4 linked regions of the Struthio camelus genome follow. The protein of the gene in region 3 purifies or fractionates together with the protein of the main gene of each other region. This does not show direct contact. Links are inferred from orthologs where the notes say so. Each region holds a gene or a part of one and is shown on either strand. Other genes may lie near its edges. The genes, in order: MAP2K1, DIAPH1, IQGAP1 and MYL6.

What was found.
Region 1: the proteins of IQGAP1 (region 3) and MAP2K1 purify together in Homo sapiens (affinity purification with western blotting; 3 studies listed by BioGRID, with this or other methods). This does not show direct contact. The link is inferred for Struthio camelus from reciprocal best matches to the Homo sapiens genes IQGAP1 and MAP2K1.
Region 2: the proteins of IQGAP1 (region 3) and DIAPH1 purify together in Homo sapiens (affinity purification with western blotting; 3 studies listed by BioGRID and IntAct, with this or other methods). This does not show direct contact. The link is inferred for Struthio camelus from reciprocal best matches to the Homo sapiens genes IQGAP1 and DIAPH1.
Region 4: the proteins of IQGAP1 (region 3) and MYL6 purify together in Homo sapiens (affinity purification with mass spectrometry; 4 studies listed by BioGRID and IntAct, counting the BioPlex papers as one, with this or other methods). This does not show direct contact. The link is inferred for Struthio camelus from reciprocal best matches to the Homo sapiens genes IQGAP1 and MYL6.

Annotation. Positions count from the first base shown.
Region 1 is NC_090953.1:3,196,852-3,203,759, reverse strand, and holds the start of MAP2K1 (dual specificity mitogen-activated protein kinase kinase 1), read left to right. Parts: upstream 1-3,895; 5' UTR 3,896-4,168; intron 4,169-4,325; 5' UTR 4,326-4,401; coding exon 4,402-4,481; intron 4,482-6,908. UniProt on the Homo sapiens protein: Dual specificity protein kinase which acts as an essential component of the MAP kinase signal transduction pathway.
Region 2 is NC_090954.1:22,034,246-22,041,739, forward strand, and holds the start of DIAPH1 (protein diaphanous homolog 1), read left to right. Parts: upstream 1-4,485; coding exon 4,486-4,611; intron 4,612-7,494. UniProt on the Homo sapiens protein: Actin nucleation and elongation factor required for the assembly of F-actin structures, such as actin cables and stress fibers. Binds to the barbed end of the actin filament and slows down actin polymerization and depolymerization.
Region 3 is NC_090953.1:208,591-215,652, forward strand, and holds the start of IQGAP1 (ras GTPase-activating-like protein IQGAP1), read right to left. Parts: upstream 3,014-7,062; 5' UTR 2,904-3,013; coding exon 2,846-2,903; intron 1,348-2,845; coding exon 1,248-1,347; intron 1-1,247. UniProt on the Homo sapiens protein: Plays a crucial role in regulating the dynamics and assembly of the actin cytoskeleton.
Region 4 is NC_090969.1:569,960-577,488, forward strand, and holds the start of MYL6 (myosin light polypeptide 6), read right to left. Parts: upstream 3,019-7,529; 5' UTR 2,880-3,018; coding exon 2,877-2,879; intron 2,477-2,876; coding exon 2,449-2,476; intron 761-2,448; coding exon 617-760; intron 519-616; coding exon 345-518; intron 1-344. Other genes in the region: ESYT1 (extended synaptotagmin-1), read right to left, coding at 4,278-4,311, 4,948-4,997, 5,080-5,185, 5,272-5,403, 5,511-5,609, 5,837-5,970, 6,061-6,207, 6,286-6,372 and 6 more. UniProt on the Homo sapiens protein: Regulatory light chain of myosin. Does not bind calcium.

The sequences.
Region 1 (6,908 bases), about 3.0 Mb from region 3:
GTGTTAGGCTTCTTAAATTCCATTGCTTATGGGACTAATTGTTTCCCTGAATTGCTCTGTTAAGCACTAAATAGATTAAGAAGTAATAAATCTTGCAAATAAAATTTTGTGTGTGTATGTCTCGGCAGTAAAATATACAGCTTTATGTGGCAATCAGGTTTTAAAAACTGGGCTAATTTAGGACTGCAATTAAGGTATGCAGTAATCAAGTTCGTGAGGAAAGGAATAATTCATACTGAAATAAGTGTTTTATTCCTGACTGCTGACTGGTAGGTGAGGGGAACTTAACAGATATTTTAGCTACTTTATAGGTTCTGTATTTTTATATACTATATATCTGCTTCACAGATTCAGTATCAGCCTCCTGCAAGTTATCTCCCCTTATTATATGGATTATTGAGTCTCCAAATCTTTAGTATTCTTTTCTTTCTCATACAAGAAACTAGCCAAAATTCAGTTTTTTTAGGTTAGTCTCATGAGAGAAAAAAGTGGTAATGGAGACAAACTTCTTTGATGCAGTTCTATTTACAGGGACATATATTACAGTTCTGTTTTTTTTCAAGAAGTAGTTGAATCAATAAATCAGAAAGTCTCCCTGCTTGGAAGTCTTTCTTACGGATTACACTGCCTCGCTTATATTTTTTTGTTCATCTTCTCCTGCGTGAGCCATATTCAGAGACACCTGTCTGTAAGAAAAACCCACATCCCACCGGCTTTACAATTGCTTTGTTTTAGGTGAGGAAATGTGCTTTATTTTCAGTTGCAAATATACTGAAGTTAAATCTGTTTGTTTTAGAGAAGTTCCAACCAACCTACAACATTCTTGAAACATTTCAAATATACTGTATAATCACGCAAAATAAAATAGATCATTTAGGAAATAATAGTATGCCTATACTGATCAGTAAGATCGTCCGTTCTTACTAACAAACAAAAAAAATCCCCAAAGCGTCTTAGGTCTCATTGAACAAAGCCTAGAGGCCATCCAGCCCTTTTTTTAAGGCTTGGTCCCCCTAAAAGTTCCAAGAGTACGATAGCGCCTGAGGAACTAGGTGATGGCAGCAGCAATTATATTGAAATGGTTCTTGAGGTGGCATCAGTCTGTACACATATGATTATATTTCTGTATTCAGACAATCAAAATACCTTTGTCTTGCAGTAGGTTAAATGGACTCTAAAACAGGTAAGTGAATTCAGACCGCAGTGTTGTTTGCAGTGCAAGTATAAAGTACACCGCAGGAGGGAGCTATCTCTTAACGTTACCTGGCATTTAATAGACGGGGGAGTGTGTGTATGAAGGGCAGAGCTGTGAAAATAAAATAATTTAGTCTTTTTTACTTTAGAAATGGGTGAGATGCTAGGAATAATAGAGCATTTTGCACAATATATAGGGCATTTTTCCCATAATAAATTTCAATTTCCATAAAAGCATTAATGACTGCTTTGACCAAAAGTATAATCATTATTTTACATTTGCAAATCACAGAAAATTGAAACAGAATTCATAGTAGTTCTTCATACAAATTACTTAAAAAATAAGTTATGTGATGGAATTTACTCTGCACTTTTACTGTCAGCTGAAATAATGTATGTGATACACACACATTTCTTGCTGTATTTCAAAAAAGTCTGCATACTGAAACCTCTGTTGTCGGTAAACATGTCCAGACATTCACCTGTTTATGTAGGCTTTTTAGTATATAGTCTAACCTGATAGGAAAAAAAAAAAACAATGTTAGAAGGAGAAAAATGATTCAAAGCTTATGGGGAAAAATTACAGCTCATAACTAAAATTCTTGTTTGTTCAACCCGGACCTTTAAAAGAAAATAATATCTTCCTTGCAATAATCTGCTCCGAGAAAGAGGACATACTTTACAACCTATTAGAATAACTAGAGTTGCATAACTCATGTGAACAACTGCAATATAGTGCAACTACAATTATACAAGGCATTTGTCATAATTGTACATTCTCTGAGACTCGCATATTCTCTGCAAAGGAGTTCAGTGTGTCAGACAAAGGAGTCCATGCATTTCTCCACACGCAGTTGGGTAAAGGGGAAAACAACCTCAGCTGCAACTCAATTTCTTCTGTAGTAAAAACATTTTTTTCCCTTTTTTTTATCACAGAGAGACTTGATACTTAGACTTCACAAGCTACTGTAAATAACTGCAGGCATCCTTGCATGTGTTGCTATCACAAACACTGTTGCAGCATTACAGTTCTTTCAGCTGAGCAGTCAACTGTCATAGAACAGATTCAGTTAAAAACTAGATCTTAAAAAAAAATGTACTCATGCCGGATTAATATCACAGGAAAGTAACAAAATACAGCCTCTAGTTGTATAGCGCTCCTCGACATGGAAGAGCAAAAGGATGTACGAGGTGTAAAGTCTCTTAAGCTCATCTATAACTTACTCTCCCTCTGGAACCTTTTGGATAGGGAAAGAGTTGTTGCCTGGTTGTTTCTCCCAATTTAGCTAGGTGTCCGGACCTATAGGACGGGATGCATTTGGTAATAAAAATTCAGATTACTTCCCAGCTGGAATCAGTGAACTAGGTCATTCTGTGTGGAAACGCTCAGGAAAATTAAAGCAAGTCAGTGTTAAAGCAAGGCAGTATTAACTACCTTAAATCCCAATATGGAGGCTCTTTTTCAGCAGTAAGGTGGCTTTAGTTCTCTGGAATTTTACCCTCACAATTTTGTTGATGTATTTTTTCTTGCATTAACCCATATATAACAATGTACTGTTCTTTCCATGGGGTGGGGTCTCTGCCCTTCTTTTTATGAGTTCAGGATGCCTATGTTTAACCCTAAAATTATTAAAGGAGGCAGTGGGTTCATAAAGTACAATCCCAGTGTACAGCATTTTTTTTATAACATCATACTTTCTCAGCCCCACATTTTTGTTTTTCTTTATCAATATATGATAGAGAGCTACTTGAAAATAGCATTCTCTGGGTTATATCTTTAGGTTCACTAAAATAACGTAATTACGAAGCACCAGAGAATCTCAGGATCAAACGGTTAGGAAAGTCAGAACTTCATAGAAACGTACACGTACTTAAAGCCACCATCACATGAATATGTGAAATATATTTGGACTTACAATGTTGTAATTACCTAACATGTGACGGACCCTCCCTTCAACTAGGGATTGATTACCTCTTCTTCAAATGATATCCAAATCTGGTCATTCTTAGTAGTGAAAGCAGCGTTGTAACAAAAGCAGTTTTTGCATTTCATTTTCAAACTCATTTTACTATTTATAATTGTTTTCCAACTGTAATCCTCAGTTTTCATTTTTACTTCAGGCATTTACTATGGGAAAAATTTAGCAGCCATTATTACCCCCACTGAGGTTTCTGTTTTAATTATAAACGCAGTAGTTACCAAATATGGGTACAGTAATGACTGCGCACGAGGGAGAGAAACAAACCGTTCCATAAAACACTGCTTTAACCATGTGGCTTTGTCTACAGAGCAAATGATGTCGCTAGTTGGGAACAGCCTACGTTAATTAATCGCTGTGAGCATTCTCGAAATAAAACTTCCATAAAAAGTCAGAGAACGTGTTAACCGGGGATTACGCGGCCGCCGGAGGTCCCAGGCGCCGAAAGCGTCCAGGTGCGGCCGCTCCGCCGCCGGCGCAGAGCCCGCGCCGGGCTCCCGCCGCTTCCCCTCTGCCCGCAGAGCGGCCTAGCAGCTTCAGAGCCCGTCGCCGCAAGCGTCTGGGGAGAGAAAAAGAAAGTTTAAAAAAAAAAAAAAAAGCCTATCTCAGGTGAGCGGGATGCGGGGAGCAGGCTGCGCGCCCGCCCGAGCGGAGGCGGGAGCTGAGCGGGAACGCCCAGAGCGCCGAGCCGCGGGGGCAGCCCGGGCGCTCAGCCCCGCGGCGGGGCGGCAGGGGCGCGGCCGGAGGACGGCGCCCCGGAACGGGCACCCCGAGGAGAGATGTCCCCCCGCCCCGCTGCCTCCCGCGGGACCGGCAGCTGAGGGCAAAGCGTAGTGAGGGCAAACCATCGGCGTGGCTTCCCGTCCGCAGTGCGCACGCGCCTGGCGCCGCGCCTGCGCGCTGGGCGGGCCCGCGCGGCCAGCGCCTGCGCAGGAGCAAGGAAGGGCACATTTTGAGACCGGGTAGTCCTGCCCGTCGGGAGCCGCTGGGAGAAGGTTCGGTGCCGCGGAGTCCGGGCCCGGAGCGGGGCTGGGCTGGGTGGGAGGGAGGGTCCGCGCGGCGCGGCGCGCCGGGGCCTGACGGCGGCGGCACAGCGCAACGCCGCGGCGTCGGCGGCGGCTGCCCGCAGCCGCTAAGTTTGCCCCGCCGCAGGAAGTCCCCTGGAGCCGGTCGAAGTGGGGACAGCGCTTCTCCGTGGGTTACGCTCTGCGGTCTCCCGGGCTGAAAAATGCCGAAGAAGAAGCCAGGGCCCATCCAGCTCAACCCGGCGCCGGATGGCTCCGCCGTCAACGGGACCAGCTCGGCAGAGTGAGTGGAGAGTGTGTGTGTGTGTGTGTGTGTGGGGGGGGGTGACTCTTCCTCCGGCGGCGCCCTGAGGTGGCGGCGCCCTGAGGTGGCGGCGCCCTGAGGTGGCGGCGCCCTGAGGTGGCGGCGCCCTGAGGTGGCGGCGCGCGGGGCCGCAGCCGCGCCCTCGGGCCCGGCGCTGAGGGGCCCCGGCGGGGCCGGCTGCGCCGCCCCTCCGGCTGCCCGGCCTCCGCGGCGCCCTTTCGCCCGGCGCGGCCCGTTTTCCGGGGAAATGCGAGTTATTCCTTCCCGCGGTCCGCGCCCCCTTCGCCTTAGCGGCCCGAGAGTTCTCTCAGGAAAATAACTGGACGGTGCTCTCGGCCGTAAATCCACTGCTGTCAGACGTGCCGGGTAAACAAGCTGGAAAAGGGAGAGAAAACCGGTGTAACTTTCTTCTTGTAGGCATCTCAATAAACGTCTGTAATTACAGTGAAGTTATAATTTTCATGTGGCCACAGAAATCGGGTATAGGAGTATATATCTGTGAAGCTCACGCTAATATTTGTTAAATTGAAATTGTTAGATTTCATTACTATAATAGTTCGCTAATGGCAAATTTTACCTTTCCAATAGCACATTTTGTAAATGTGTATGTGGGAAGAAATTATACTGAAAATCACTTAAGTTGTAGAAAAGGGTTTTTTTTTTGTTATTGCCTTTTGCTTTAAACCAAAATAACACTAATATCAGAAAACTTTTGATTTTTTCAGTAATTAACCTGTAATGATAAGTAGTTTGACAAATATGTTTGTAGAAACTGCTTTTGAGCTTTCCTGAGTATAATAAAAACATTACACTAATGTCAGGAGGGTGGGTCTGAACTAATCATTGATATACTTGGGGGGAAAAAAGTGAACGTTATATTGTTACATACTGCTTATGAGATGAGCTTCGTGTTGAGTGGATGTGGACGAGCAAGGTGGGTTGTTTTACATGTTGCACTGTAGGGTAATGAAGTGTTGTAAAAGAAGCTTGCTAGAGGTTAACAGGTCTGTGTTCACTACTTAATTTGTAGATTGAGGTGTTGGGCTAGCACTATGAACTGAGGTTTGGAAAAGAAAAGTGTACTGGGAGAAGAGATTCCTGCCCTGGCATGGTCAGTTCACTCTTCTTCCTCCTTGGATACAGAAACTGAGCTCTGAGATGCTTGTGTACCGCTGTGTCATGAACAGAGCTGCGCTGAGATGTGTAAGTCTCAGACTTTAAAGCATTGCGCTGCTATTGTTGCTGTCAGATTTTCAGATAAGTTCAGTTCTCATTTAACTGCTTTGATATAATATCTCTGAAAATATTCAGTATCTAACATCTCCATCTGTGACATTTCTAGCAAACTATTTTGATGATTAAATGAAAGGTGAGCTCTTTAAGAATTATCTTTAGGCAGAGATTGCTTATTGTATCTAAGGATTTTGATCTAAATATTATGTGATCTTTGTTCTGGATGGTAGGGGGAAAAATGTTTTTATATTAGCTTATATAGCCTGTTCCAGTTGACTTTCTTCAAGGTAATTGTAGATTCCTTGATTTAGTTTTCAGAGGTCCCTAGGGTATTTTAGTAGCCTGATCTTATAGAATAAATCTGTTATACCTATCACTTGTTTTTTCTGGTACCTAAAATTAATTGCCAGCCGTCCAATATATTAAACGTAGTATTTCTTCAGTACTTTTCTATTCAAGAAATGTCCTTAATTTTAAATTTTTTTATGCATGTCTGATACTCTATTACTTGTTGAAAGTTTATGGAGGCTCATGGGGTTATTAAATCTTATTTACACCAAATAACTCTCTTGCTTCCTTTTTGCACTTTGTACATTAATTTATTTGACATACGTATCTCCTAGGTTTTTACTCTTTGTCATATATTAGAGCTCATACTTGGCTTTTGACAGTCTTAGGTGGTAGGTGTTTGGGTTTGTGTGTATGGGGGGGTGGGTGTCTGGGTTTTTTGTTTTCTAAGAAGCAGCTTCACGAAAAAGTAAATCCAGCAGCTTGTTGCCCCATAAGTAGCTAGAATTAATTAATTATGAAAATATCCGTTCATCCTGCAAATATTAAATCCTTATTGTGAAACACTAAATAACAAAGAATAGTTGAATAAGAATTTGGAAATTGCCTGGGAATGAAATGGAAAACAGTGGCTGCTTGCCTTCATCTATGAGCTTGATTCTCTCTCCTCCTTTCTCTCTCTCCCTCCTACTGTTGGTCAGTGCTTGAAATCAATGGTGGAGGTGTCTGTCCATTTTTGTATACGTATACCTTGTCAAGTGTTTGAAGTACGTTAGCATTTGTAGACTAAATATTAACTTTTCTTTTAAGCTTAGTTCCTGGTTTCATGGAATTTTGGCTATGTGGATCTCCAGTTACTCATTTGCTTGCACCATATACAAACCT
Region 2 (7,494 bases), on a different chromosome or scaffold from region 3:
ATACCTAGATGGACAGTGCAACTTGCCATGAAGTACTGTGAATACTGAAAGCTTCTGTGGGTTCAGAAAGGGACTAGGAAAAAAAATAAAAAGGACCAAGGTTGTTAAATTCAAAGACACTTCTAAGCACAAATTTTTGGACACTGGATGTATGTTCTGTAAAGTATTGCTATGCGCTTACCCTAAGGCTTGGTTAATCATATTTGTGTTCCTTATGTGCTTTAGCTGACATGCTGTACTTTGCATATCAGAAGACTCAAAATGCCAGTACAATGGCCAGAGTTTTGAAAAACAAAGACTGGAATCTGAACAGAAAATAACTTTTTTTTTTTTTAAATTCCAGTTCCTGTTTCATCTGATATCATCAGAGAGCTAGCTTGTTTCATCTGATGGTGTCATCAGTTGTATCAAAGCTGATTTACAGGAATGCAGTCTCTCACCTCTGGTAGTAGTCAATATTTGCTTCTTCAAAAGAAGAGGGAAATCCTCCCCTTGTAGCTCCATCTCTTACTGATGAAGACTGTAAACTTCGCAAAAACTCCACAGCCAGTTCTTAGTCAAAATTACCTGTCCTGTTTGCATTGAGGTACCTCTGTTACTTTTAAGAAGCAACAAATTCTGGGGCTTTCAGTTGTATTGCTCTTCCTCCTGCACTTTGATTCGCACATCTCTTTCTATCCCATAATAAGCCCTCCCCTGGCAGCCTTTTTAGGCTCCATTCCTCCCACAGTAGAGAAACGTAAGTGCTTTCTTTCCTCCTTGTGATATGGTATGCATCACTTGTACAGCCTGTGCTATTCAAACTTTCCCTCTTCAGAATCCTTGTCTGTTCTGGGTTTTGAAATAAGGCTGCAAATTCAGAGGATTGTCTTTATCTGGGTTTCTGATGGGTTTTCTTGGAAACGGCTGTGAAACAAATTCAGGCTGTAGAGATTTTTCCTCCCAGTTGTATTTTCCCACTGCAACGGAGCTGTCAGAAATGAGAAACTGAACTAAAATTGCCATCTGATACTGCAGGACTACTCAAGCTGCATTAGACCAAAGGTTCATGTAGACCAGTGTCTTGTCTCTGGCATCACCCAGTAATAGATGCCTACTGAAGTGGATAGGAACAAGACAAGTGTGAAATCCACAGTAGTAATATACTAGATAAGGTGGCAAACTTGCACATCTTGAATGTGGGGTCATGATATGTATCTAACACAAAATTGACTGGTAGGCTGCTTTATAAAGTACAGGATAGTCTGGTACCAACTGAAATTAAATTAAGCCAGATTTATTTATCTTTAGGAAATGTGTGAGAACCAACACTTGCACAAATAGATAAAACAGCTGCAGTTTATAACGTACACAGTGAGCGTCAACTGACTGCATTTAGTTGCTGTTATCGATGGGCAACAGAGATCACAGAAGGGTGAAAAAAATTCAGTCACAAAGTTCCTAGAGAGTACTTTTGTCCTCTCTTGCTGTATTTTCTTTCCTATATTTTAGCAGGAAAAAAGCTCCCTTTGTATTTTTGAATTCAGTTGTTCAAAATAGAGGTAGGGATGATGTGAATGTCTCTGTGATTGAGGTGGAAGCCCTTGATCTGGGAGGTTTCCTAAAGGTGACAGAGTTGTGGCTCCGTCTGACAGTTCCCCCCAGAGCTTGACCCTCCTTGGCCAAGGATGTGTTGTTACAGGCCAGCCTCATGCTTTGTTCAGATTTTGCAGTCTGCAGTCGTCCCAGAGGAACACAGCTCTGATGTGGGCTGATAAGCTGAAATGTGGACTTCTCATAGAGCCGTAACCGGGCTCACTAATTGCTTTGAAAATGAAGACCAAAAGCCTTAAATGACTCTTCCAAAAATGACTGGGAGCCAACAGAGTAACTGGAGCAGGTGCTTAATGCTTATGGCAGCCAAAAAGAGAGGGAAGACAAGGTGGCCTGTCCTGAACTACTAGCAGCTGCCCCTTGGACACAGCGAATGATGTAATTTAACCTGGAGGCCGCAACCACGTCACTAGCTCCCCATTTGGAAGCAAGGTAAGTCAGTGGAGCTCCATAAGTGAACTGGCAGCAAAAGGAAGAGTGCTTAGTCATGAGCAGCATATAGCGACTGTAAGGCTGGAGCCCGGAACATGGGCGCACCTCCGGGACTAGGAGCAGCTTGGCTTTAGTTGCAGAGGATGCCTTAACTATCCCTTCAAAACATTTTCTGGCCAATATCAGAGTGGTCCTGCCTGGTATGAATCTGGGAAAATGGGTGTTGGGCACTAGAAGTGTCCCCCCTCCTCTCGGAGAGGAGACAGGACTGTGTTTTGTTGAGCACATTCTGTGATTTCACGGGCAAATGGAACAGAAGCAAACAAGCATTTTCTGGTCATTAAAAGGAGAAAATTCAGGCCTATTTGATGAATGCACTTTTGAATAGCTGCTTGTTTCAGGCTTGCCTGCTGTGCATCAAATATTGACTATGACCTAAGCAGGAAAGATGTGTGTTGAGAGACTGAATTATCAGAATAATGCCCACGCGGGTGCAGCTATGCTGCCCTACAGGGTGACTTGCAAACCTTTTGATGGGAACAGGATGTAATGCTGGGTGCCAAAAAAAGGTGCGACTGATTTTGCCACTGCATTGTAGCTCAGTTCTATTTAATAGAAACTTAGATGAAGGGGTCAGAAGAATTCATTTGGCTCTGAAGAGTGAATATATTCAGAGATGTTCCTGTCCTTGGTGAGTAACTCTGCTTTATTTCTATTTTAGTATTTGCACAGATCATGTTGCGGGAGAGAAAGGCTAGCTAGAAATGAATGCATGTGGTTGTTACTCCAAGGATGGGATCAAGCTCCCACTGCAGTAGCAGTGTTTTAGAAAAATTTCATGCATAATCCTAGCTGGTGGTTTGTGAGGCTTCTGCAACTGTGCTTATATACTCAGGTTCAACTCCTCCTGCGAGGGACATGTGCGCTGACTCCTGGGGGCTGGACACACAGCATGGCTAGTTTGGGTACCCAGAACAAGCAGTTATTTTGGCTTTGTAGGGATAGGCGCTTAGGGCTGGAAGAATCCAACCTGAAGCAGAAGCACCCTTTTTATCCTGAGCCTGGCACCCTTTGAAATATCCTGTGCCTGCTTGTTTGAAAAAGAAACAACCCGAGGCCCACATGGATGGAGCAAGCCTCCAGAAGGTAATGAAAAAAAGGTTGGGAGAAATACTATGCTTTGGTGACAGAAAAACAATAGATAAGAAAAAGCCCAAAGGGCTTTGCTTGCAGAAGCTGAACTTGGATCACTGGCCTTTAGAGAAGGGTTGTGGCGTGAACCACATGGCACCCTCAAAAGGACCCTCAAAGCACTCGAGTGGGATGCTCCAGGCACACTCGGATAGCACGTGTGTGAACAAACAGTCTGGCTGTCCTGCCCGGTGCTGTCTGCGGTCCCACGTAAGGTGAAGCAACCGTTGCTGTGCGTGATGGGGCTGACTCCACTCTGAGCAAGTCCAGTGGTGCCCGAAGTACTGTGACGCAGAAAGCTATCACGTCAACTCTGTTCTTCGGCAACGAGGTGCCACACAAAAAATTGGCTTGCAAAGAAGCCTAGATTGGCAGTACTCGCCACTTAGATGCTTACCTGTTAATTAATTTGGCTCAATGGCGATAGAAGCTGCTGAATTGCTGTAGCATCCAGCTGAAAATAAGACTGGAACATGTGCCAGGCCTCCCGTATCCAAGCGGGTTCACTGAAGGAAGGAAGGTGGAAGGGCCTCAGAGGAGGATCCTCTGCAGCGTGCCACCACGGATGCCTCACGCACAGCACCGAGGAAGCCACGCTGCTGCTCAGTCTGCTGTACCAGGTTATTTTTCAGGTATATTAAGTTCTAGTTACGTTTTCGGAGGGGGTGTGTTGGTGACCCCTGGCTTGCTGGCGTACCTGGAGTTCTGTGGCGGAGCAGGAGCTCCCGGGAAGAGGTACGCTTCAGCCCTCGCCGCAGTTAGGGACGCGTTTCTGCTCCAAACAGGACCGCGTATATTGGTGGGGCTGGAGCTAGCATGTCTTAATTCTTAAGGACACGGGTGTGGGTTTTTTTCCAAAGCCTCCTTAGCAGGAAAACGGGGCCCGATGACAAAACGTTGGCAACCTCCCGCAGGTCCCCCAGCGAGCCGAAACCGGCCCCAGAGGACTGAATGAAAGAGCAGGTGCCGCCACAGCGGCGTAGGGCAAGAACCCCCCAAGGCGGCGCGCCGCCTCCCTGCTTCGGAGCTGCCCGAGCGCCAGCGGCGCCGGGAGAGCGTTTCGCGGCGGCGGCGGCCGGGCGCCGCCAGGGGGCGCGCGGCGGCGGCGGCAGGAAGTGGGCGGGGCCGGAGCGGAAGCGGAAGCGGGCTCATGAATATTCATGCGGCTAATGAGATGCTGCATGCGGGATGAGGCGGGCGGGGCCGGGCCGGGCGCGGCCGGGGCGGTTGGGCAGCGCGGGCTCGGCGGCCTGAGGAGCCGGCGGCGGCATGGAGGGCGGCGGGGGGGCGGCCCGCGGCGGCGGCCGCGACAAGAAGCGGGGCAAGGCCCCGGCGCCCGAGGAGGCGGCGGCGGCGGCGGCGGGGCCCGGCGACCCCAGCAAGTCCAAGAAATTCGTGAGTGGCGGCGCGGGAGCGGGGGGGGGGGCTGCGGCGCCGCCGCCCGCACCTGCCGCAGGTGCCGGGCCCGGGCGGCCGCGGTCACCGCGGGGCGGCGGGGGGGGCCGGGGCCGCCCGCAGCGAGGAAACCCCGGCCAAAGCCGCTCCGCTGCCGGCCGGCCGGCGGGCGGCAACTTTCCTGTGGCAGCCTGCCCGGTGGAAGCGGACCGGTTTTCTCTTGCTGACGGGTTTGTTCCCCCCCGAGGAAGGGGGGGGGGGGCGGGCTCCCCCCGCCGCTGCCCGCGCCTCGCTGGCGGTCTGGGTCTGCCCGGGGGGGGGGGGGTCCGTGGCGGGCGCGACGGCGGCGGGGCCGCCGGGGCCCCCCCGCTTCGCGCTGAGCGTCGCTCGTTTTCACGGCAACGGGTCCCCCCCCCCTCCCTCCCCCCCCCGCCGGCCTTGGTGATGCTCAAAAGGCGCCTGAACGCGGTGTCCCGCCCGCCGCTGTGGCGGACCCCGCGGGAGCGGGGCGCTGGGCTGGGTGGCGGCCAGAGGTCCCTCGCCGCCGCCGTCGCCCCGCTGCCGCAGCCGTTTCTGCCGTCCGGCTTTCCGCCTGCGCTGAACTTTCTGCAAGCGCGCAGGGCGCTGCCGAGCGCTGCGCTGCCCGCGCTCGCCGCGCTGCGGGAGTTATTCTGCGGTGATGTGCACTTAAGTGATTAATCAGTTGCGCTGACTGTATGCAGCGGCTTTGAAGATGTTATCAGGAACTGGCTGAAACTGGAGACAACTAGGGGTTTTTGCTGGTTGGGAAGTTTGGCGGGGGAGGGGGGTCACCTGTATTGGCACTCTGGAAACAACTACAAGTCTCGACGCTAAGCGAAAGATCGGTGCATCCCTTTCCGTCTCTTCTGACTGCTGCATGACTTACGGAGTGTTTACACTCTGCTTTTCTTCCGTATCAGTTCATGGACTGCTTCTGCTCCTATTAAATGCAGTAGGAGCTGAATTCAGTAGCGGTTTAGCAAAATATCTGCTATAACAATGGGAGGTGAAAATGCAGTAATCCTGTTGTTCAGAGTTTGAAATAGTATTGGGTTCCTCTTGGCATCAGCAGGGTACATGCATGTCTTCCCCTCACCTTTCCTGTTGGCATACCACTGGACTCTGGGTTAGGTACTTTCTCCTCTCTTTGTTGCAGTCTGGATATATGCTTGTGTACTGACGCGTTTGCAGGATGTAGCTTGCCGAAAGGAAACATGTTCTCCTTTGGGAATCACAGAATGGCCAAGGCTGGAAGGGACCTCTGGAGATCATCGAGTCCAACCCCCTGCTCAAGCAGGGTCCTCTAGAGCACGTCGTGCAGGATCACGTCCAAGCAGGTTTTGAATATCTCCAGGGAAGGAGACGCCACAACCTCTCTGGGCAACCTGTGCCAGTGCTCTGTCACCCTCACAGTCAAGAAGTTTTTCCTCAGATTCAGATGGAACTTCCTGTTTCGGTTTGTGGCTGTTGCCTCAACGTAGAAGTAGAAAGGAGATCTGAAAACTGAGATTAACCTTCTTTTTTGTTTGTACTCTTTTTTTTTTTTTAACGCAAGTTCATTGTCATAGATAAAACGACACTTTTTTGCTATTCATAAGGATATGTTGTGTCCATATGGGTCATCTATTAGATTACACAGCAGGGAGCTATTTTTGTTCCTTTATTATTACTGTGCACATAAATATGTTTACTATTTTGTGTTATTTATGGTAGTTTGAGTTCGGTAGTTTAAATCTGATTATATAGCCTCGTAGTAGTGTTTCAGATGGTCTTAACTAAAACAACAAAAAACATACTGATTATACTGGTTGGATATATGATTTTCATGAATGTATTAAGTAAGGAGGTATGAACTGGAATTAGGTGACAGGTGGATTCTTGTCTTCTCACTACAAGGCAGGTTTTCGAAGTTCGTAGGTACTTAAAGAGGCTAAAAGGTGCCCACTGGAATTTTGGCAAGTTAAACACCTTTGAAAACCTGGCCTTACTGCTTTTGATTTCAGAATGAAGAGAGTTCAGTTTCTGTAGTAAGTTTTTTATTTGTAAAAATTTCAGAAGACAAATTCAGTTTCCTGGCTTCCAGTGACCTGCTCCAAATTCAGAAGCTAATCTTTTATATCTGCTGGCTAAGCAGAAATCCAGAGTAATTAACGCACAAGACTTTTTCCATGTGCTGGGAAACAGAGTACCTCTAGCTAGGAAGTACAACAATAGCAACACTTGCTCCGAGACTGAAAATAGCATAAGCACCTAATATGGTAGATGACATTGTGACATATTTATGAAGCTTGCTTTAGCCTCAAAAGTTAGCTATTCCTTCATCTTCACCTCTCTCCTACTGCACAGTTTTGCATATGAACTCTGTCTTCTGCAGCATAACATTTTGGCCGCTGATTGCTATAAATATGATGCAATCAATTGTCATTGGTATTTTATTTGCAAACTTAATGCTCTCTAATTTGCTCTAAGTGTGCAAATCATCATGTCTCTTTATTAGATTACAGTTTGCTGCTGCTTCTCCTGGAGTTGACAGTGCATTCAGGCTTTTAAGCAAGTCTTGCTGCTGCCGCCGCCTTCCCAACTTCCAAACCTCGACCCACCCTTCCTGTCCTAGTGACTAATATACTTGTGCGCTACTTGGTCACTTCCCAATCTCTTCACTGCAGCAGCCTCCTCCTTGGTTCTTCTGTTACTTCATTCTATCCAAAATGCAACTCCTGTGTTTGTCCCCCGTCGTAAGGGAACAATGGAGGTTATAAAAAGTCCACCTATGCTGTTGGTTTACATCAGTTGCAGCTTCCTGAGAAACACCTGTGTGATATTAGAAAGCAGTGAAAGTAATTCTCTTCAGAACTCTGATAT
Region 3 (7,062 bases):
AATTTGTGCTAAGTCATGAGAAGAGATGACTGTCATGGAGGAAAACATTAGACAAACTAATCTGTTTCACTCCTATTCTTCACTTATAGCATGTAAGATCACTTGTTTGCAAAAGATTTAAAACTAGCAACAATAAGAATTTACACATTCATTTTTAATAGTTCCCTTCTCTTGACATAGCAGATACAGGTATCTACCCCCACACACCTCATGTTCACAGTGTATTTTCATTAATTGTCTGAATGAAGAAATACAGCATGCTTTCACACTTTATAAACGTGGAGATAACGCAGAAGAAGGAGGGGGCTACATGTATGCTGGAAGACAGGAATACATTCAAAATTATTTCAACACATTAAACAAAAAGGTCATGAAAAAACAGAATAATATTCAACAGGGTCAATTAAAAGGTAATAACACTTAGGAAAATGTAATTGGCTGCACAAACATAGGATGGGGAACAGACTTCATCAGCATGCCTTCAAGGAAAAGGATGGCAAGTCAGCAAAACTCTACCACATCATGCCATTATGAAAACCGAGATACCATGCTGGAACGCATGAACAACAGCATACCTAGCAGGATACACGAAATAATCCTTATGCTCTCATCAGCATGTTAATGCCCCAGTTGGAAAACTTCTTCCTGTTTTGGCAGTGCACTTCCAGAAAGACATGGATTAAGTGGAGAGATGTCAAGACAATCCAGGAGTAATGACCTCATCTATTAAATAGGACCCACAGGGAAACTCATATGAAAGAATTGGGTTTTTTTAGTCTAAGAGAAAAGAGCAAGGAAATACTTTGTAACAATTCAGATTTGTAAAAGGCTGCAGTGAAGAGAATAACCTGTTCTCCGTTTCTGTTGATAAGTAATGGCGTAATACCGCAGCAAGACATACACAGGTGGGATAGCAGGGAGGATCCTTCCAGTGTTAAGAATACGGAAGCACTGGAACAATTGCTGAAGGCGTAGCTATGGAGTCCCTGTCACAGAAGTCCTTAAGAACATATTATATAAGCACATCAGGAACGAGCTAGACAAAGTTGCATTTGCCCCTGTCAGGCAGAAAAATAGACTAGAGGTAGCCGCTAAAGGCCCTCGTAGGCTTTTTTTTTTTTTTTTTAAATGAATCTATATAGCTGCTCAGAAACACAGTCAAGAATAATTGCTATGAAATTATTCCACTTAACAAGTATCACAACTCTTTTTAATACACCAGCAGTTTCAAGCCCACTTATTCTTACCTCTTGGCTTCCTCCAGATGGCAAAGATATTCATAAGCCACGTTCTGGCGCCGTCTTTCATCCATCTCCTCCGCTGTTAACCTCTCATTATCCAGGACAGCTGCGAACAGTCAAACAGATTCTCAGGTTCTTGAGGATTGAATGCAAATGAACAGACAAACCAAAAACCAGATCCAACCTTTCCCACAGGAGCTCACTTTTATTTGATTCAGAAAACGAAGAACCAAATAAACAACAGAACAGAAAGTAAAGCTGAAGCTATCCCATTTCCTTACCCTTCCTCCCTTGCCAAATAAATGTCATTTTCCTTCTTTTGGATTTCTCCATTTGCTTCTGATCCAATTTTTTGCATCTTCCAATTTCCTATAAACAGCCCTTTCTCTTCTTATTTCCTTCTAGCTTTACCTTTCTCTTCCTAAAAAGTGCATCAGTGACCATGTCTCTCCACCTACCTTCTGATTTTGGTAATCAAAGATTAAAGGAGGACAGCGATATATCATCACACCATAAAATCCCTTTTATATAGTTATACTCAATCTCTAAAAGAGAGGGCAATGCTACTCATAATCCTCACCTGGAGAGGAAGCGTTCAGATCCACAACCTGTGCATCATGTTTGGATTGATCTGAGGACCTATTGAGGGGTGTATGCCTAAATCTTTCAGACTGTGTTCAAAGCCGCAGTGATACAGCCTGTCCTTTCCACTCTTACAACTAAACACCTCATCCATGCTCTTATGGGGAAAAAATGCACGTTCTTCGGTTTCAAGGAGTAGTTTGACGAATAGGAAACGTCTCTTACTACTGTTAATCAAAGGTTAGCTCACACCTAAAATGCCTTCATCAAATAAGTGTAACGACAAGGTATCAACTGCAGTATTGGGTCTCAAACAAAATTTTGCTTCAGACTGCCACGGGTCTCCTAGAGAACCGGTCCAGGGCATGCCAAAAGCCTCTTACTGCTTCAGCCTCTCCCAAAGTTACAAGGGCTGAAAGCTGTCACAAATCCCACGATAACAGCTACCAGCAGGGAGAATTCCTCTCCCCTCCCGGCCCCCGCCTCAGCGCTGCCTTCTCGAGCAGCGCGGGGCGGCCAGCGCTTCCGGCGGGCCCTGCCGCCGCCGCCCCTCACCGCAGCGCTGCAACTTCTCCGCCCTCACTGACTTTTGACGTGATAGCGCAGCACAAACTCTGACGCGTAGCACAAAACTCCAACGGGGGCTTAAACTAAAGCCTCCGTCCCCAAAGCGTAATTCCAACGCGCCCGGGTGCCTTCGCCGCAACCGGCGGTGAGGCCGGGAAGAGCAGGGCAGGGCAGGGCAGGGCAGGGCAGGGCAGGGCCCCGGCCGGCCGCCGCGCCGCGCCCACCGCGGCGGACATCTTGGGCGAGGCCCGGCCGCCCCCCGCCAGGCGGGGGCGCCGCAGCCGGGGTCAGCGCCGCCCGCCGCGCCCCAGCGTCGCCCGCGGACGAGGCCCCGCCGCTCCCTCCGGGCCCGCGGCGTCCCGGCCCCCGCGCGGGGACGAGCGGGGCGTCGCCAGGCAGGATGCTCCTCGGCGGCCGCCCGGCTCGGCCGAGCCCGGCCGCCTCTCGGTACTCACAGCCGTAGTGGGGCCGGGACACGGCCAGCCCGTCCACCTCCTCCGCCGCCGCCGCCATGGCGCTGCGCTGGGCCGCCCGGAGCTGCTGCGGGCGCGGCGGTTCCTCTTCCTGCCGCTCCGGGTGTGGCGGAGGAGGAGCCGCCGCCGCCGCTCCGCGCTCGCCCCCCGCTCCCCCCGCCCCGGCCGCGCCCCGGCCGCCTCCGCCGCGGCCGCAGCGAGGCGCTGCCCTGCCACGACCCCCCCGCGCCGCGCCGCGCCGCGGTCTGGGGCGCCGCCCGGGCAGCGTCCCCGCCGCGGCCGACCGGACCCGGCGCCCGGCTCGGCCCCGTCCCGCTGCCCTCAGCCCGGCGGACGCGGCGCGCCGCCCTCCCCCCGTCCCGCTGCCCACGCGCGGGGCGCCGCCGCCCGCCCCGCTCCCCCCCGGCGCTGCCCACGCGCGGGGCGCCGCCCCCCCCAGCCTTGCTCCCCCCCGGCGCTGCCCACGCGCGGGGCGCCGCCCCCCCCAGCCTTGCTCCCCCCCCGGCGCTGCCCACGCGCGGGGCGCCGCCCCCCCCCAGCCTTGCTCCCCCCCGGCGCTGCCCACGCGCGGGGCGCCGCCCCCCCCCAGCCTTGCTCCCCCCCGGCGCTGCCCACGCGCGGGGCGCCGCCCCCCCCCCAGCCTTGCTCCCCCCCGGCGCTGCCCACGCGCGGGGCGCCGCCCCCCCCCAGCCTTGCTCCCCCCGGCGCTGCCCACGCGCGGGGCGCCACCCCCCGGCCCCCCAGCCCCGCTCCCCCCCCCCCGGCGCTGCCCACAGGCATCAGCACTGGAGCTTCGCAGGGCTGGGCGCTGTAGAAAAACAGCAAAAAAGGAGACAGGTCTGATGTTAGAAAGTTTGTGCTCTGTGTTAGAAAAAGTGTGCTCCCGTATACTGATATAAATGGAACTGTTAATGGTAGTTGGATTTTGGAGACTCGTGGGAGGACTTCTTCATGAAAGATCATTCCTAATCAGCTTCAAAATGGACTATATGGCTCAGTAAAGGAAGGGAGGGAGGGGGGCGGCTGGGAATAGGACTGTGGGGGAGAGGGAAGACTGAACGGCAAGGAACCGTTTGCAAGTTCCTCTCGCCGCCGAGGGCGGGTTTGCAGTGCGAGGAGGTAAAGCAGCGGGAGGAAGCGTTCCCTCTCCAGCCAAGCCAGATTCGGTCTGTTGGCGCTGGTGGACCTGCTGAAGTACGTGACTGACCAACAGCTCACAGAGATGGAGAATATGTGGTATCTCACAATATTAATTTGTCCTTAAAACAACAGATACAAATCAATGTTAACGCAACACAGTGAACATCGGAAAAACAATACTAACACGCATATACAACGACAGGTTCTAATTTACCCATTACAGCTCAGGTGGGAGATCCTGGAGCTGAAAACTTCAGCTCAGTGCTGAGCAATGGTCCAAAGGCAAAGAGAATTTTGGAAATTATGAATAGTAGTATCTTGCAGCTAAGATAGTTTAAGGATATTCATGAGGTGAAATGACTTGCCTGACCACTTATATCAGTTGGTCTCCTAAAAGACAGTCATTCTCTCTGCAAGCCTTACTCCATAGTATTAGGAAAGAAATGCAGTAGTACAAAGCAGGAAACTTCATTTAGCCAGTGCATCCTGAATCCTGACTGAGACACTTATCTTGAATAGAGATGTGCCCAATTTGAAATATACCTCACTTTTGGTCATCCCCCCTTAAAAAATAATATAGGCGAACAAAAATAGGTACAGAGAAAGGCAACAATGAGGATCAGAACTACAGAAGGGCTTTCCTGTCAGAAGAGGATAACTAGCTAGGACACTGAGAGAGACCTGTGAGGAGAGAAAAGGGGCTTGAAAGAGATGCACAGAACATGAGAAGGAGACTAGGCAACATGTTTTCATTCCTTCTGACAAAACACACGTTAATCCCAAATTTAACCATAAAGCACTTTTAATCCAAACTAAAGGAAATGCCTTTTTACAAAGTATAACACTATAGAAATCAGTATGACATTATTTTGAAGACCAGAAGAAAAGGAGTTAGACAAATGCACAGAGGTTCATCAAAGGCTACTAAACAAACTGGTCTAGATGAAAGCTTGGGAAGATCATACGTCACTGGATGGCGGAGTAAGAAGGGACCTCTTTCCACGCATGCCTTATTTGTGCTCTCTATCTGTCCGTATTCTCAACAGATCAATATCAGACACAGGACCCTGGACTAAAGAGGCCTGTGATTTGATTCAGTGAGGCTGGGAGTTTTTGTTGTTGGTGGGTTTTTTTTTATGAAGAAACATGCAGGCAGTGATCCTGAGGAAGAACAAATTTTCCCATTAAGTATTGTTGAAAGAGACACTAATGAATGTAAGTAATGGGCTATAATGATGATAGTAATAATAATAAGTGATGGCAACAATTTTGTAAGACCATGACACCCCTCAGCTCTTAGTCAAAATGTTTGGTAACAGTTATAATTCTAATATTAATATTTATTTATATTACTTCATATGTGGCCACTCTGCAGTTATACAACGAGAAGACATTTTAAACAATGTTTCTATATAGACTGTGGAGTGCAGAACTGGTTTTGTTCCCCTAAAATCCCAGAATAATTTTTGCACATCTCCATAATCCTAGTGAAAAAAAAAATCATAAACTTGGTCTTGTCTATAAGACCCATTCTGACAAGAATAAAACAAGATTATCACACATTTGCAGTTTCAAAGTTTCTGGCTGAACCTCTTCAAGGTTATACTTGAATCGCTCCTGTAATGGCCCCACCGATCATTGTCTCTAAGATTTCTGGTCTTTGTTACTGTCTCTACTAACTGCTGTTTGTTAGGGTTTGTGTATCTTTGTGTTTAATTTATTGCCTCTCCTGTTTCTTGTCTTCTTTTTTTTTTTTTAATGTTGAATAGCCGCTAGCTAGATAGCCTTTCACAAAGCACTACAGAGGTACCTATTTTTCTCTAGTTTCACCGTTTTAGTTATCAATTCTGTACAAAATTTAATTATTCTTTATTTGGCCTTGACTGCCTAATCACCAGGCTTCCCTGAGGAAACGAGAGCTGCAAAACTCAGTCCTTTATTTAAACTACTGTTATCTGTTCCTTTGCAAGTATTTACTAGCCACTTTCTTTATCGAGAAAGATTATTTCTGTGAATGGTGCTGGGGGGAAAAAAACACAGATTACCTGAAGACTCTGAAGCTGCCATTCTGCAGTCGCTTCAAAATAACCTAGCTGCAGGCTGCCACTGAAACAGGGAATCTCTCATCTCTTGTATCCCCCTCCAAACATTATAGTATATACAACGATCCTGCCTGCCTTTCCAAAAAACCACATGGTCTCTTAGTCCAAAAAAGATTGGGAGATAATAGCATATTCAAACAATGTTCCACTGAAGAATTTCTCATGTATGTCCTCATTTCTGCCAAAGTAAAAGCTGAAGATGGAGTAGGATCTGCTCTAGGTCTCATTTAGCACTAAGAATTCCAAGCCATGACTTATGCTATGACACACAAACCCCTCAGAAAGCTGAGAGAACAGATGTCTTTTGCTGCTCTACACAACATCCTTCATTCTCCTGACTCGTCTCATCCGTAACAGTCATTCCTTAATACTGTTCTTTGCGCTTCAAGTATTCATAGACAATTGAGACCTTTCCCTTTAGATCTCATTTGTCCGGGATAGGTTTATTTAGGTCTGTAACAATGTTTAGATCCCTAATCATTTTTGCTGTCTTCTCTAATTACCCAGTTTAGCTACATGTTCCGTGTTAATGGGCCCAGACTGGCCTGCAGGAATCCAGGCACAATTGCGTCAGTTGAAAATATTTCTATGACTCCTACCCCTCACATATCTGATGATACTGTTTTGTATATGGTCATATGTCAGGCTGTGGCTGCACCAGATCAGAAACGTAGTGGCCAAATGAGACAAGTTGTTGCCCTGGTCTAAAAACGCAGTGCTGTTTCAAAACTGCACTCCCTCAGCCCTGGCCCTCCCATCCTTGTGGCAGGGAACTTTGCAAGAGGCTCTGGGAAAGCTGCAGAGGAAGTGGCTGCCCACTTGGGGGAGGAAGACATGGCCAGCCCCATACCACTTGCTTCTGCAGTGCCAGACCAGCCAGGCAAGACAGGTGAGTCTGGCTCACGATATGGGGTCTCCTCCATCCTATTTGTTTCCAGACTTGCTTTTGCATCCTGA
Region 4 (7,529 bases), on a different chromosome or scaffold from region 3:
TTGGGAGGGTCTCCAAGGCTGACCAGGAGGTCCTTGGAGCCAGCTGGGGGCTCAGGGGGGTTTGGGAGGTCCCTGGGGCCAGCCAGGAGTTCAGGGGGTCCCCAGGACCAGCTGGGGGATCACCAGAGTTTGGAGTACCCCAAAGGCTGGCCAGAGGCTCACAGGAGCTCAGGGGCCTCCCAGGGCCAGCCAGGGGCTTGGGGAGATTCAGGGGGCCTCCAAGCTGGCTTGGAGCTCACCAGGTCCTGGGGACCGGCAGAAGGGTTGCCCAGGTTCGGGGCATCCCCAGGGCTGGCCAGGGGGGTCCCGGGGCCAGCAGCACTCCAGCAAGTCACGACACTCACCCAGGGTGACGAGGACGTGGCGGATCTCAGCCCCCATGACGGTGCCGTTGCCCTCCTTGTCAAAGACCCGCAGCCCCTCCACGTAGTCCTCGAAGCAGCCCTGGTCCTTGTTCTTGGCGATGGTCTGCATCATGGGCAGGAACTGCTCGAAGTTCAGGGTCTTCAGGTGCATCTCTGGCCGGGAAGGGGCAGGGACACAGGCGGTGAGGACGGGCTGGGGGCCGCCGCGCCGTGGCCCGGGGCCTGTCTGCGAAGGGGTCCCCCCCGCTCACCATCGCTCTTGGGGTTCCCCAGCACCTTCATGACCTCGGCGTTGGTGGGGTTCTGGCCCAGCGCCCGCATCACGTCGCCGCACTGGCTGTACAGGATCTTCCCGTCACCCGTGCGGTCGAAGAGCTGGAACGCCTCCTTGAAATCTGCGGGGCCGTCGGCGTCAGCGGGGCCGGGCACCCACCGGACCCACGGCACCGCCAGGAGCCTCCACCCCACCTGCGGGACCTCGCGTCCCAGGGGCGCCCGCACGCTGTGCCCTGCACCCCACTGCACTACGCACCTTGCACCCCGCAGGACTCCGTGGGGTCTTACGGCCCATAGGACCCTTCATGTTGTGCCCTGCACCCCACAGGACCCTGCACCCCACTGCACTACGCACCTCGCACCCCACAGGACTCCATGGGGTCTTACAGCCCATAGGGCCCTGCACCCCACGGGACCCTTCATGTTGTGCCCTGCACCCCACAGGACCCTGCACCCCACTGCACTACGCACCTCGCACCCCACAGGACTCCATGGGGTCTTACAGCCCATAGGGCCCTGCACCCCACGGGACCCTTCATGTTGTGCCCTGCACCCCACAGGACCCTGCACCCCACTGCACTACGCACCTCGCACCCCACAGGACTCCGTGGGGTCTTACAGCCCATAGGACCCTTCATGTTGTGCCCTGCACCCCACAGGACCCTGCACCCCACTGCACTACGCACCTCGCACCCCACAGGACTCCGTGGGGTCTTACAGCCCATAGGACCCTTCATGTTGTGCCCTGCACCCCACAGGACCCTGCACCCCACTGCACTACGCACCTCGCAGGACTCCGTGGGGTCTTACAGGCCATAGGGCCCTGCACCCCACAGGACCCTTCATATTGTGCCCTGCACCCACAGGACCCTGCACCCCACTGCACTACGCACCTCGCACCCCACAGGACTCCGTGGGGTCTTACGGCCCATAGGACCCTTCATGTTGTGCCCTGCACCCCACAGGACCCTGCACCCCACTGCACTACGCACCTCGCACCCCACAGGACTCCGTGGGGTCTTACGGCCCATAGGACCCTTCATGTTGTGCCCTGCATCCCATGGTACCCTGTATGTTGTACCCTGCACCCCATTGCTCCATGCACCCTACGGGACCCTGCACCTCACTCTCTGTGGGACCCCACATGTCGTACCCGACGCCCCACGGGACCCCGCACCCCACGGGACCCGGCGCTGCCTCCCTGGGCAGCCGCCAGCTCCCGCCTCGGGTTTCGTTTCCGAGCGGGATCCGGTTTCCCGGGAGGAACCCGACACCCGGCGGGAACCGGGTCACGGAGCCGCCTCGCCCCGGAGGGCCCAGGCGTCCGAGCCCCCGCCGCCCCCGTTCCCCCCTCCCGCTGGGCTAGAGCTGCCCGAGCAGGAAGAGGGCCCAGGCGTCCGGGCCGCCTCCCGCCCTGCTCCGGGCTCTCACCCCTCCCCTCCGGGGAGGGGACCCAGGCGTCCGGGCGGGATGCTGCCCGTGCAGGAAGCGCACCGATGCCCGGGCCGCCCCCTCCCCTGCGCCAGGGACCCAGGCGTCCGGGCGGGATGCTGCCCGTGCAGGAAGCGCACCGATGCCCGGGCCGCCCCCTCCCCTGCGCCAGGGACCCAGGCGTCCGGGCGGCCCCACCCGGCAGGAATGCGCGGCCCGGCCCCGCGTTATGCCCATATAAGGGCAAATGGCGCAACCGGGGCCCGGCGCCGCCGCCGTCCCCCCCCCCCCCCCCCGGTACCGGGCGGCGCTGCGCACCGGGAAACGCCCGAGCTGCCGGGCCCAAACACCCCCCCGCCCCCCCCCCGGCACTCACCGGCCGTCTGCTCCTCCGTGAAGTCGCACTGCGGGGAGAGCGCGGCCGTCAGCCCGCACCGGGCCGCGCCGTCGGGCGCCAGCGCCGCGAACCGGCCCCGCCGCCCCGCTCCCCGCCGTGCATCGCCCCCGGCCCCCCCTTCCCCCCGCACTGCCCCCAGGCCCGGTGCGTCCCGGTACCCCCCCGCCCACTGCGCCCTGGGCCTTCGCCCCACGTTGCATCCAGCTCCGGTTCCCACCCCCCCCCTCGGGCATTGCACTCGCTTCCCGGTGTCCCCCCCCGCCAATTGCACTCGGTTCCCCCGTGCATTACCCTCTATGTCCCCCCCGTGCATCGCCCCCGGTTCCCCTATGCACCGCCCCGGCCCCCCTCCCCGTGCATCGCCCCCGGTTCCCGGTGCCCCCCCCGTGCACCGCCCCGGCCCCCACCATGGCGGCGCCGCTCCCGCTCCGCTCCGGGCACTGGGAGCCGCTTCCCGGCGGCACCAGCCCTTTCTACCGCCCGACGTCACCGCCCTCCCATTGGCCGCGCGCCGAGTGCGTCATCGCACGCTAATGAGGCGCTCATTATGCATGCATGAGGGGCGGGGCGAGTTGAGACCCCGCCCCTGCTCCCGGGGGGGATTTTTTGCCTATAGATGGGCACGGAGCAGAGCCGGGGGGGGGGGGCGCTGGGGACACCCCACGCGCGACACCCCAGTGGGGGCACCCGATAGGGGACGCAGCCTGGGGGAGCCCTACGGTGCCACCCCCGTGACGACACCCGCGTGGGGGACACCCCAACAGATGACTCACTAGGAGACGTCAACGGGGGGGGGGACACCCCCTTGATGGCACCCCATGGAGGACAGCCCATGGGGGACACCCCACCGGTGACACCCCAACAGGGGACACCTCAGAGGTGACATCCTATAGGGGACAACCCAACAGGGGACACCTCCTTGATGGCACCCCATGGAGGACACCCCAGTGGGGGACATCCCAATGACAGCAGCCCACAGCCTCCTTTGGCATGGAGGACATGCCAATGACAGTATCCCCGTAGGGGACAACCCAACAGGGGTCACCTCATTGATAGCACCTCATGGAGGACAGCCCATGGGGGACACCCCAATGGGGGAACCACAATGGAGACACACCACCGGTGACACCTCACAGGGGACCACCCAATAGGAAACCCCAACAGGGAGCAAACCAACAGGGAATGGCCCAAAGACAGCACACCATGGGCGACAGCCCGTAGAGGACAACCCAACAGGGGACACCTCCTTGATGGCACCCCATGGAGGACATCCCAATGACAGCAGCCCATAGGGGACCCTGCATGGACATGCCAATGACAGTGTCCCCGTAGGGGGTAACTCAGCAGGGGACACCGCATTGATGGCACCCCATGGAAGACATCCTAATGACAGCACCATCCAGGGGGACCCCCAGGAGGACACCCCGCTGATGGCACCCCAATAGGGGACACCGCCCCCCCCCGCAAGCCCCCCAGGGACCACACAGAGGCCGGGGCTCTCTCCTCCCTCCTTTATTTGCAGGGGGACGGGGTGGGGGGACACGGGGGCCGCGGCCCCCCGGAAGGCAGCGAGGGGGACGTGCGCGGCGGTGGCACGGCGGTGGCTCCAACACAAGCGTCTCCCCGCGGCGGGGGGCAGGTTTCGCCCTCGACGGAAACGGGGGCGAAAAGGCACGACATAAATATAACAGTCGAAAGCAGCAGCAGCAGCGGGGGGGGCGGCGGTGGGGGGGCCGGGGCCGGCGCCCCGTCCGGCCCCCCGGCCCCCCCGGTCTTTGGTCAGTGCAAGGCAGACGGCGGTGGCGGCGCTAGGGGCTGCTGCGCTCGTCCCGCAGCTCGTACCTAGGGAGAGTGGGGTGAGCGCGGCCCCTCGCCTGTCCCCCCCCCCCAAGCCCCAGGATGGACCCCCAGCCCCAGGGCACGGACCCCCGGCATGGGGGAAGAGAGCCCCCCATTCCCTAAAGGCAGATAGCCCACTCCCTAGGGACAGACCCTCCCCATCTCTGGGGGCAGATACCCCATTCCCGGGGGCAGGACCCCCCCCATCCCTGGGGGCAGGACCCCCCCCCCCATCCCTTGCTGCAGATACCCCATTCCCGGGGGCAGGACCCCCCTCATCCCTGGGGGCAGGACCCCCCCCCCATCCCTTGCTGCAGATATCCCATTCCCGGGGGCAGGACCCCCCCCATCCCTGGGGGCAGGACCCCCCCCCCCAATCCCTTGCTGCAGATATCCCATTCCCGGGGGCAGGACCCCCCCTCATCCCTGGGGGCAGGACCCCCCTCCCCAATCCCTTGCTGCAGATACCCATTCCCAGGGGCAGGACCCCCCTCATCCCTGGGGGCAGGACCCCCCCCATCCCTTGCTGCAGATACCCATTCCCGGGGGCAGCAGGACCCCCCCCCATCCCTGGGGGCAGGACCCCCTGCATGGGTCCCAGCCCCAGGGCAGCTCCCCCCCCTGCCCAGCCCCACTCACCAGTGGGCCCCCCCCTCGGCCAAGTCCACCTGCGCCAGGTCCAGATGGAGCTGGGGGAGAGCGAGGGCTCAGGAGGGAGGGAGGGAGGGGTCCCGCGGGGGCCCCCCGCCGCCCCCCGGCCCCCCGCCCTACCTTCCCCAGCGCCTCCTTCTCCCGCGCCATGAAGGACGCCGCGGACTTGACATGAGCCTCCAGCTTGCGCCGCGCCGCCTCCTCCAGCGACACGTCCCACTCGAACCTGCGGAGACCGGGCTGTGCTGGGAGGCGCTGGGAGGTGCTGGGATGCACTGGGCAGGGCTGCACCCCCCCCACCCCCCCCAAAACCTCTCATTGAAGTCGGGGTTCAAGGTCTTCTTCTGCACGCTGGTCTTCCTCTTGGTGGCCCGGCTCTTGTCGGGCAGGAGGACGAGGGAGACGTAGGGGTCGGGCAGGTCCTTGGAGACCGGCTTCAGCTGCCTGCAGCGGGGAGAGGGCGCGGGATGGAGCCCCCCAGGGGTGCCGAGCCCCCCGCCGCCGCCCCCCCCCTGTGGCGGACCCAGGTGTCCGGGCGCCCCCTCCGTTACCTGCAGGCGTGCACCACGGCCACCAGCTTCCGCTCGTCCGCGTGGTACCAGAGCGTGAGCTGCAGCCGGCCCAGGGGGGGCTCCGCCGGCTCCGCGCGGCTGCCAAGCCCACCGTCAGCCCCGGCCGGGTCGGGGGGGGGGGGTCACGGCTCCCGGACCCCCACCCCCGGCTGCACCCGGACCCCCCTGCGCAGCCAGGCTTTGCATCTGCAGCCCCCTTCCCAGCCAGGGCTTTGCACCCAGACCCCCACCCCGATGCAGGCACCACGCCGGGACCCCCTTGGCCAAGCTGCAGATTTTGGGGGGGGGGGGGGGCGCAGCCCTACCTGTCGGCGGGGGCCAGGCGCTGGCGCAGCAGCCCCCCGGCCCCGCTCTCCTCCTCCCGCCGCGGCTCCGCGTCCTGGGGCTCGGGCTCCCCCCCGCCGCCGGCTGCCGCCCCCAACCGCTGCGACGCCAGGATCTGGGGCGGGGGGGGGAGGCCGAGCAGCGGGGTGAGGGGGGGTCCCGGCCCCGTCGTGCTGTGCATCCCCCCCCCGGCGCTGAGACTCACCGCCAGCTGCGCCCGCAGCAGGACCTGCGCGCCGGGACCCCCCCCGGCCAGCGGGAACCAGCCGTCCAGGGCGAGCGCCTCGGAGGCCAGGAGCTGGGGCAGGGGCAGGCTGAGGGCGCCCAGGGGCTGCCCCCCCTCGTCCTTCACCTGGGGGCAACAGGGGCGAGCTCAGGGACCCCCGGGAGCGCCGGGACCCCCGGGACCGCCGGGGACGGACCCCGATACCTGCAGCTCCAGCGACTCCGCGTGGGGCCGCTTGATGAGGAAGGAGAAGCCTTCGTCCCACACCGGGTCGGAGCTGGGGGTGCAAGTCTGGGGAGGGGAGGGGGCAGGAGAGAGGGTGAGAAACACCCTCTCCCCCCCCCCCCACCCCGGCAGGACCCCCGGGCCGGCGCTCACCTTGGTCTTGGCGCAGACGTCGCGCACGGCGAGGCTGGCGTAGGCGGCGGGCGGCTTGGCGCCCTTGAGGACCTGGGGACGGCGACACGGCGGGCAGGGGGTGAGCGGCGCCCCCCGGGGCGCGGGGACAAGGGGACCCAGGCGTCCGGGCCCCCGCTCACCGGGAGGTCGGCGGCTCGGTCCACGAAGACGGAGAGCAGGGCGGCCGAGAGCTCCTCGCCCCGGGCGGGCTGGATGAGGCTGTTGGCGCGCAGGACCTGGGGGAGCGGCGGGTGGGCAGGGGCCGAGGCCGGCTGAGACCCGGCCAGCTCGTGGCGCGTGTGGCCGAGCCGTTACCTGCTCCAGGAGGGCGGCGCTGGGGCACGGCACCAAGGTCTCCAGCCGCACGTGGAGGCGGCCGGACTTCACCTCCTCCAGCGGCAGCCACTGGCGGGACGAGACGGCGGGTGAGACCCCCCCCGGGGGCGCCCACCGCGGCCCCCCCCGTCCCGGCCCCTCTCCTACCTCGTCCACCAAGCGGCTGCTCAGCACCCGGCGCAGCGGCACCTTGCACCTGCGGAGGGGGGCGGTGAGGGCCGGCCGGGTTGGGGGGACGCGGCATCGCCCCCCCCCCCCCCAAACCCCGGCACCCACCGGCCCAGGAAGTCGTCCTTGTCGATGTCCTTGTCAAAGAGGTCGAACTCCACGTCCTGCCCCGGGACGTCGTCCACGATCACCTGGCGAGGGAGAGCCGTCGCTGGGAAGGCGGAGGCGGCGCCCGGACGCCTGGGTCCCCCCCCCGCCCCAGCCCAACCCTGCCTCAGTTTCCCCTCCCGGCCGGCCCCCCATCCCGCACCTCGTAGACCTCGTTCCAGCGGGGGTTGAGCTCCTCCTTGACGACGCGGCTGCGGAAAGCCTTCCCGGCCACCCGCACCTTGGCGTAGGGGTCCGACTTGCCCCGCACCATGCCCTTGAGGAAGTTGTCCTTGGCCACCAGGTTCTCGGCCTCCAGGAGATGGATCCGGAGCACGTTCTGGGGGGGGGGGGGACGGATGTGTGGGACCGGGCTGCAGGGGGACAGAGCTGGGGGC